Linked DNA regions of Drosophila melanogaster. The protein of the gene in region 2 interacts with the protein of the main gene of each other region in a pairwise test. Each region holds a gene or a part of one and is shown on either strand. Other genes may lie near its edges.

Region 1 (4,805 bases), on a different chromosome or scaffold from region 2:
CGCCGGCGCAGCAACTCCATGTAGCCGTCGGAGAACTCTTTGCTGAAGCTGTGCAGGAATTTGCCAGGATTGTCCGCAAAGAGGAGCAACTGGCGCTGGTGGGACTCGCTCATCGTGTGGCACTTGAAGCCGTTTTCATCGCGGCACTGCTTCTCGCACATCTGGCAGTACCAGCGCAGCTTCTGCAGACCCTTCGATTTCATCTTGTTGGCGAGGTACTTGGGCGTACCTACCTCGGCGCGACCCATCGTAGCGTCTTTTTATGTGCGTGGTTTTACAAATAATTTCTCAACAAAAACTTATTGTTTTGATCTCACGTAAAGGTATGACCGCGCTGGGGTATAACAACAATACCCGTGAACACTTTTATCGATAGTTACTGCTGGGGGATGTTCGTGTGACCAGGCTAATATTATTTGTTGATAGCGGTAGAAAATGAATTTAAAAAACTTAATATTCATTTCTTGAAAGATTTTTATTTAAATATTCAAAATAGAGATTAAGCCGAGTTTACATAATAAAGGCGTATTTTTTATCACAAAGTAATAACTACAATGAAATGTACAATTGAACGATTTCCATTAATTAGCTTAATTCACATAGAAAATAATTCAAAGCACAATTTTCTCGCCCAATCTCTCAATTTCGTCCAAAATGAAGTCCAACTCTTTGCTTTTCAGGATGGGAAAACAAGTGAAGACCATGCGAAAGAAGTTGCCCAGATTTTTAGCTTTAAGAGGCGAGTAACCAATCATCAAAGTGCCGCTGTGGGCCATTTGCTCCTTAATTTTCGGGGCCACCTTTAAAGGAGCATATAAAAATGTGAGCTTAAATGGTCTATCAAAGCCATTGTTATTCACTTACAGTGTAAAGTCGACTCCACCATTCAGGCGTCTCCTCCTCGCTGGACACCCTCATTGCTTTCGGAATGAACCAAAAGCAGACATTGGAGTACTCGTGCTCCGGGATCACCAGTCTAAAGCGATCTCCACGCTGGCGCAGCTTGCCTTCCAGCAACCTGGCGATGTGGATGGCGTGGTCCACCATGAGTCCATACTTTCCATATCCGCGAGCCTTAAGCATTAGCCAGAACTTGAAAGCGTCGATCTTGCGGCCGCACTGGACACTCTTGTTTCCCGTATCGTAGGATACATCATAGAACTTGTCCTGCTGGAACAAATAGTGCGCCTCGGTGCTGTTGCATCTTTCCAGCAGACGGCCAGATTCCCTGGTCAAAAAGAGTGAACACTGCAATGGAGCGCCGATGGTTTTGTGCGGATTCCAGGAAAACGAATTCGCCCGCTCGAGGCCGGCAATGAGCGATCGGTTCTTGGCGGAGAGTAGTGCAGCGCCTCCCAGACAGGCGTCCACATGGAGCCACAGACCATGTCGTTCCGTCACATCCGCCGCACCATTGATATCATCAAAGGCACCCAACACAGTGGTGCCTGCAGTACAGTTGACAAAGAACGGTTCACCGCCACGTGCCTTTGCCTCTGCGATCTTCGCCTCCAGGTCGTCCAACAGCATCTGACCCCGCTCATTGGTCCTCACCGACACACAGTTGTAGCTGCCCAATCCCAGCCAGTTGGCCGCCTTCACGAAGCTGTAGTGCGACTCGTCGGAGGTAAAGAGCACCAGCGGTCGCATTCCAAACATTCCAGACGTCTTCACCTCGGGCGCGATCTTATAGCGGGCCAGAACCATGCCGTACATGTTGGAGGTGGAGCCACCGGGCGCAAAGATGCCATCGCCTTCCTTGTATCCCGCTAACTTGCAGATGGTCGCGATCACCTCAGTTTCGATCAAGCTAAACACGGGCGCAACTTCGTAGGTGTATCTGAAACAAAAGTTTATTGTGTCTTGTTGGATACCTCGGTTAAAAGTCTGATTTTGGTAGTCCTATCTAGGAAATCTCATCTAAATGATTAATAACTTGCAATGATTGTGTATGAACTCTGCTTAATCCCCATTTAAATTAATCGAAAGGGGGGGGGGGGGGTTATGAAACATACATGTAGTACTTTGCAATCTCCATTACATAGCGCAATTATCTGTACGTTGAACCCCGACACCACTTGTAGATTGGAACACGAGATGCAATCAGCGGTCACTCATATAGACAAGACACATGTGTGGAATAAGGCGCAGACTTACGTGCTGCCGTTCATGGCCTCGGTGACCAGGGCTCCTGCCAGTCCAAACGGGTCCAGCTGGCCAAAGAGCTGATTGTGGAAGCGGCCGTGCGAGGTTTTCACAGAGTAATGGATCACCTGCTGGCACAGCTCCTCGATCTCCGCGAGCGAGCAGTTTTCCGTCTCTCGAACCTTCAGGTTAATCAGTTCCTGGAAGTGATGGTGCGAAATCATGTAATCTCAAGATTGTTATAGAACAGCGACTTTTGCAATAAGAAAGTATATTAAAGATTCAACATATTTCTAAAACGTTTTCTGTTTCGAACTAATAATATCTTTACCCAGAAAAAACCGACCATAATCTATGAAATAACAAACAATTCAATTATAATTAAAACTATCAGATACTAGCATGAGTGTGCTCAATCAGGAAGTGCTACTATCAATTGACTCACATTTCGTCGGGCAAGCCATAGTACAATTGCTACAATTTGCGGTCGGGTGGTCAATTTTCGAATGAACTCTTCCATTAATCAGTTCTCTGTTATCTCTGGTTATCTCCACATCGGCAGACGCCGAATCGTCTATCACTTGCTCCACTCACCTTAAGTTTGTCTGGCTGCAAAAAGGGGACTATCTTCTGCTTGTCCCATTTCTGGGGATCCACGCAGAAGGTATCCTCCTTCCGGAGAAGGTGGAATACGTTCTCCAGGATCTTCCAGTCGTCCATGAGGCCATCGCGAATCTGGTCAACAGTCTCTGCTCCATCCACTGATTCAGCCATACTACACTCGGTCGGTAGAAGTTTCCGTATCTCAATTGGCCAGTAAAAGGCTGATTATTTTTGGCTTTCGAGATCCGAACCTCTTCCGTCGACGATTCAATCAGAAGTGCCCCGTCCGACTGCAGCAGATTGTGTTTTAATGTTATCTTGATCAAATTCTCATCAAGTTGTAAACCCTCGTCTTCGCTCGCACTCAAATGGAAATACAAATGATCGGGGCTGTAAGAACACACATACACCTCCACGCTTGTGCTCTTTAGAGTGAACCTCGTTTTATTACGAAAGCGAAATAAAAGTGATATTAAAGTCGTGCATATTTAGGTTACTTAAACATACAATATATATCAATTAAGCACGTGCCTTATTAGCTGATTCGGCTTATCTCGTAACCAAAATCCTGCACAATTCGTTTTCTTTTCATCTCGACGCATTATCGTCAAATTCAATCGAAATTTGCATATTTACCCTATCGATTAAACAAGTTTCATGTGCATGCCACCAGAAAACTTGGTCAACTAATTGGATGCCCAACACCGCAGAACTTAGCTGAGCTTACTTTTTGGAAGTCTCGCTGCAATGATTACTTACAAATATTCAAACGAGTACGGATACCTGCACGACACTGCGGCTCAGAAACGAGTTTCAGCTCACCAGATGTATCTGAGCGATTCTTAGATGCAAATCAAGGGCGAAACAAGTACTACGAGTGCTTTTTGCTGTCGTCCACGTGCATTGCCAACTAATGAAGTGGGAATCTCGCAGTAAACTGTTTCCAGTGTGCCTGCAAATAGAAAGTAGAAAATGAAATGCCCATTTCACTTTACTTTCATTGCTGTACTGGTAGTACTCCAAGTGGCTACCAGCATTTTACTTATCCAGCAGATAGCAGAGTCGGAATTTTATCAGCTTTCGGTGCAAATTTCGTTTTCAAGCTATAATAGAACGATTAAAACTCACAGATACAATTCTCCTTGTACCCAAAAACTTTAGGAAACGTGGCGTATTGTCAATGTAGATTTAGATTTAGATTTATAGAGGAACAATTAATTATATAACAAGAGCTCTAGTCCCTCGAAAATATATTCAAATTGCAAATTTGTTCACGTAAAACGGTTGCATTTTAATATGTTTTCCTCGATTTAACATTTTATCGTTTGTATCTATATGCATTATTTAAAATTTTACTTTTTTCGCCAACAACGTAAAAATGGAAGAAGGTTTGTGTTTTCTCATATTATTTAAATATTCTATTTGATTTCCTGGATTCATATAGTTGTAGTTGCAGTTCAGTTTGCGGTCGAACGTAGTGGCAAATTCATTTCTACAGATACATTTCCTAGTAATCATCTAGATCGAAGCCATCATTGTCCAATTCATCGAGCTGCATACTCTGGAAATCCACCTTGTAGCGTAAGATACCTGCAGAGGCACACCCAGCAATTGAATTAAATTAAAATAAGAAACAAAAAAAAAAAAAAAATAGAAGAACAGAAGCTGATTGAAAATTGAAAAATAAATGAAGAGGAAAAAACAAAAGGATCAACACACAGGATAGTTCAACCGAAACTCAGATTCTCACCTCCTTTGTATCCACATTTAACTTTTCATACACTAAATAAAATATTTGTTGTACTTCGCGACTGAATATAAACGGATACCCCATCCTCATTGTGTGGTGTTTTTATTCTGGTTTAATTTTTATTACAATTTTATGGATTAGATTTGTATACTTTCTTATAACACTCGGCTATAATTTGAATAGGGGAAATGCAGATACGTTCGAAAGTGGCATGTGGCAGTTAACCGAAGATCTTTTGCTCCTAATACCGCAGTCGAAATCGAACCAGATGAACGGAGAATGCGCTAATATCTATCGCATCGCTTTT
Region 2 (4,841 bases):
CCACGCTCGGTTCTTGACACAACACACGCTTCGATGCACAACCACTTTCAATCGGTGCGAAATAGGAATCAGGTAATATTTACAATTGACAGCTTAACAAATTTTCAAACGACGAGTGAAGCATTTCTTCTCGCTTTCCGTTTTGATTTTCTTTTCCTTTGTATGTATCGCCTGACGTATGCGCAGTGTGGCCGAACAGGGCTAGTGAGAAATACCAGCCGGCGGGTAGATATACTAAAAGTGTATTATTTTTAGTTAAAACAGTGCATTGTCACATAAATTTTAATAGCCTCTTTATTAAACTATATGAGCGTTGATTGCCACTATGAATATCTAAGCAATATATTACATTACAATATGGCAATTATATTGGCATTTGGTACTGTCGAATAAAATACCAAACCTTGCAGTGCTGCCCATCAGCTATACCAAAAAAAAACTTGGCAGCATTGCGCATCGTGTTCATTTGAAATTTCGAAACACAAAACATTATAAATAAATTCAAACGAAATTAGCTCGCCATGGAAATGCGTACGATAAAAACAGCTAGACTTTATTAATCAATAACATTTATTATTTACAGCTGAAGGAGTTTCGATTGCTCTTGCAGACCGCGCTTGAATGACAAAATGCATTAGTTGGTTTCGAAATATTAATGATTGGCTAACAATTATGATACATTATTATTTATACACAATTAAAAAAGGCATCGCTGATTTGCACTACACAAATATTATTGTATTTTCTCGTAATATTAGTAAAATCACAGTGAAATATTACTGCACGCCGTAGAGTTGAAAATGTAGTTCTGGGCCTCCAGAATGTGCATTTCAGTTAAACATATAGCAACTAACAGGATAATGTAACCGCTGTACCGGATCGCGCGCAGGAAGTCCCACAGCTTGTCGCAGAAGATGCTCAGCAGGACGCAGTGCAGCAGGGCGTGCACGTTGACGATGCGCCACATCCAGGCGACGCAGAAGAACCAGGTCGACTTGAACACGTAATCCTGGCAATGCGACTGGTTGCCGCTCACGTCCTCGCGCTCCAGCATGTTCTGGTAGACGGCAATGTAGCGATTCCACGCCGTCGAGCTCAGCAGCAGCTGGCCCGTGAAGCTGATCACGTTCTTGGCCACCTTGCGCGTGGTGGCCTTCATCTTCGGTATCATCATGGTGGGCTCCGGCAGCTTGGAGTCGCTCATGGGTATGATCGAGTAGCCCCTCCGCGGTGGATTGTTCTTCAGGTAAAAGAATATGCCCAGCAGCAGCGCAATGCAGCCGAGTCCGTCGCACAGGCCGTCCACATAGTAGCCGGAGGTGCCGATCTCCGAGCGCTCGCCGCGTATGTGCTTGCGCACGCGCGCCACATGCCCGTCCAGGTCGTCCAGGAAGGTGCGGATCTGGAAGAGCAGCACGCCCAGCCGCCGATAGCCCAGGCTGTCCGAGGCCACCAGTTTGCCCGCCAGACAGGCCACGCCCACATGGAAAAACGATATCATGTTGGGCGTGATGAAGGTGGAGCGCGAGAAGCCGATCACGTTGTCGAACATGGTGGCCAGCGGGGCGAACAGGTAGTGGTTGGTGTGGTCCAACAGAATGGCCTTCACGGTCACATGGCAAAGCGGATTTATATCACAGGATATCCAGGTGTGGTCCTCGTAGGACGGCTGCCGGTCGCCGGCGGTGGGTAGTTTCGTACTGGTGCTGCTGCTACTGCTGCTGCTGCTGCTGCTGCTACCACCGATGCTGCCGGACCCGGACTCCGAGGTGGACGGACCCACGACGGAGGCGGGCAGCGAGACATTCGTGTGATAGTTCCTCTCGATGGCATAGTTGTGGATGCGCAGGTAGAGCTCCACGTCCATGAAAACGTAGAAGATGATCAGCAGGAACAGCAGGGTGAGCAGGATCTTGCTGATCTGCGAACTGGGTCCGATCATGGTGACACTTTGAGGTAGCGCTTAACACTAAGTTCTTATCGGGCTGATTTCAGGGCGCAGCTGTGGGGCGGAAAGAAGTGAAGCTGATCAATATGGTTTATCGAAGCGAAGTAGTTGTCAAGATAAGCCGCGCACGGCATAAAAAGTTTGGCAAGCAACATGCAGGGTTTTGAAATCCCCTTCTGAAATTCTGAAATCGTATATGCGATCATAATAATGCTCAGCTATCAAAGAGTGAAAGCTAACAACTAACCACTGGCAATGCGTTCTTATCGAAGGAATTTTTGACACTTTGGGGAGCGACCGCAGTGACGAAAGAGGCGGGGAGAATAGAGCAATATGGTCAGTTACTGGTACTGGATGACTAAATCAGCCCACTTGGGCACCCACACATACACACACACACCCCACCTCAGCCCGCCCAGCCGAAGCAGCGCACTATCTGTTCCACTATCTGCAGGTATTTGCGGAAGCTTTTGGCGAGGCACTGGGAATTATAGGCGCTATTAGTAACCTTTTAACTGCCAATGCCGATTAACGGGGCTTCTAATTGGCTGCAGGAGTGTGCGTGCACGCAGCAATCCATCACACACACAGCACACACACACACACTCATTGGGCGTGCGTGTGTTGGTGGAGGGGTGCTCCCTGATAAGTGGGCATATGGTAATGGAACCATTTATGGGCTGGAATTGGCGATCGAAGTGATATAGGTGATATGGGTGATAGCTGCGGCCATTGCGTTGGGGGAATTGGCACTCACCGCCTTGCTGAATCATTGAAAACGAATATAGACTGTATCAAAACATTGCAGTATTTATTACTGCGATGGGGTAATGCGAGCAACTTGTTGGAGTTGCAGCCTGCAGACACTGTGGCACTTAGACGTAGTCAACAATAGCACATAGATAGATAGTTATTGCTAAAACACACGGATAAATGTAAAAGTTTATGTTAATTGTTCGTAAATTTCGTAAATTAATGGCCGACCAGTGTGGCCAGCGTCGCGCAAAATATCGTGCACCAGCGAGGAATCCAGCGCTATCGATAACATTCGGCCCGCGCGCTTTGGGCACCTCCGGTCACTCTAACCGGTTAAACTTTTCAACTTCAGTCTATTTTGATAGTTTTAAATTGTTGTAATAGCCATTAATTACTTTTCTAACACAAGACCATGATTGCGCGCACCCTGCGAACGGTGGGCCGGCAAGGTCGCAACCTTCTGCTACCGCGCATCACCGCCTGTCGCCCACTTCACGCTATTCCGGCCAACTTCAGCAAGGCCTACGACCACGACGGGAAGACCAAAGTCACCATCTTCAACACCGAAACGGATCTGGGCCTTATGGTCACCGGCTACAGCCAGTACGGCTTCCGGCTCAACAACGACATGGTCCTCATTGGCCCCATCTCCGTGTTTCCCAGGTAGGTGGCCTTCGACGGATGCATTGGCTCACCCAATTATGTAAACAAGTGCATGTGATTTATGCCATGGCACTCTGATGATCATACAATCCCAATCCCAAGCTTAGTTATGCACGCCTTTGAGTTTATTAAACAGAAGTCAAGGATTTATTGGGAAAAGTCAAAGAGAATGACTTCTTCATTTAAAGTTTCATACAAAAAAATGTTGATGTAAAAACTACCAATAGTTGTTAAAGGCTTTTTGAATGCTAATTTAAATTTTAATTATTTCAATAACTTCTTACCTTATAGCCTCTATTTGTTTAAGTTATAAGCTTTCGATGGCTTTTAATAGTGATATTGTTTATAAGTATTAATATGTCATAAGTTACTATCTGAAGCTAAAGTTTAATTTTATGTTTTACTACTTACAGATCGGTTCTGTCCTGGAACGTCAACAGCTTTGAGGACATCAACGAGGACAGCCTCAGTCTCTTCCCCACCCTGGAGCCAAAGATCGACGTGCTTATCATTGGCATTGGCGACCAAGCACCGCCCCCAGCTCTTTCCAAGAGGATCATCGAGTTCATGAAGAAGTACAAGATAAACGTAGAGATCCTGCGCACGGAGCAGGTAGGTATTAATCACTCCCCGATCTATATCCATATTGAATGGCACTCTTTGCAGGCATGTGCCACCTTCAACTTCCTGAATGCCGAGAACCGAATGGTGGCCTGCGCCCTGATACCCCCGCTGCACCTGTCCTACAACGAGAACGACATTCTGCAAGCGAAGCTGCGGAAGAAGGAGCTCTACGAGACCGAATAGGATTAGTTAGACACATCTAATGATTGTTTGAAAGGCTGGTGCTCTGTTAGAAATTAAACTGTTTTGTAAAATTCAGATTTCTTTATTCGTATAGACGTAGTTGTAAGGTGTATAAAAGCTAGCAATCTCGCAGTTAAACTGCACTCTCCTCCTTGTCGATTAATTGGCGATTTCAGTCGGCTGTGGCGCCCGGATAGCGCTCAATGAGCATAGCCACGCCCTGTCCACCGGCCGCGCAGGCGGCGACCACGCCCAACTTGCCATCCTCGCGCACCAGGCGGTTGGCGGTGTGCATGCAGAGGCGGACTCCTGTGGCGGCGAAGGGGTGGCCGATGGACAGAGAACCGCCCCAGTTGTTCCACTTGGACAGGTCGGGAGTGCCGACCTTCTCGTTCAGGCCCAAGTAAGTCTTGCAGAACCAGTCGGAGTCCAGGGCCTTCAGATTGGCCACGATCTGTCCGGCGAACGCCTCGTGGATCTCCCACGAGTCAATGTCCTTCAGCGTGAGTCCAGCCTTCTTGAGCAGCTTGGGAATTCCGTAGGCGGGTCCCAGCAGCAGCTGGTTGACGGGATCCTGCGACACGAACAGGAAGTCGCGCAGATAGGCCTTGGGCTTGAGGCCCAGCTGCTTGGCCTTCTCCTCGGTCATGATAATGCAAGCAGAAGC

The links. Proteins that work in one complex are often made in the same cells at the same time.
Region 1: the proteins of Cpes (region 2) and CG5618 interact in a two-hybrid assay, tested with the Drosophila melanogaster proteins (one large-scale study listed by BioGRID).

The regions. Positions count from the first base shown.
Region 1 is NT_037436.4:20,352,340-20,357,144, reverse strand, and holds CG5618 (uncharacterized protein), read right to left. Parts: upstream 3,226-4,805; 5' UTR 2,920-3,225; coding exon 2,740-2,919; intron 2,346-2,739; coding exon 2,158-2,345; exon of another isoform or gene 2,016-2,157; intron 1,841-2,015; coding exon 865-1,840; intron 801-864; coding exon 612-800; 3' UTR 513-611; downstream 1-512. Other genes in the region: kin17, read right to left, coding at 1-248; eRF1 (eukaryotic translation release factor 1), read right to left, coding at 3,591-3,700.
Region 2 is NT_033778.4:23,862,407-23,867,247, forward strand, and holds Cpes (ceramide phosphoethanolamine synthase), read right to left. Parts: upstream 2,993-4,841; 5' UTR 2,706-2,992; intron 2,491-2,705; exon of another isoform or gene 2,354-2,490; intron 2,317-2,353; exon of another isoform or gene 2,196-2,316; intron 2,003-2,195; 5' UTR 1,943-2,002; coding exon 764-1,942; 3' UTR 556-763; downstream 1-555. Other genes in the region: CG5569 (uncharacterized protein), read left to right, coding at 3,117-3,367, 3,781-3,979, 4,034-4,174; Mtpbeta (mitochondrial trifunctional protein beta subunit), read right to left, coding at 4,347-4,841. UniProt on the Drosophila melanogaster protein: Catalyzes the biosynthesis of ceramide phosphoethanolamine (CPE) through the transfer of a phosphatidyl head group from cytidine 5'-diphosphate (CDP)-ethanolamine on to the primary hydroxyl of ceramide.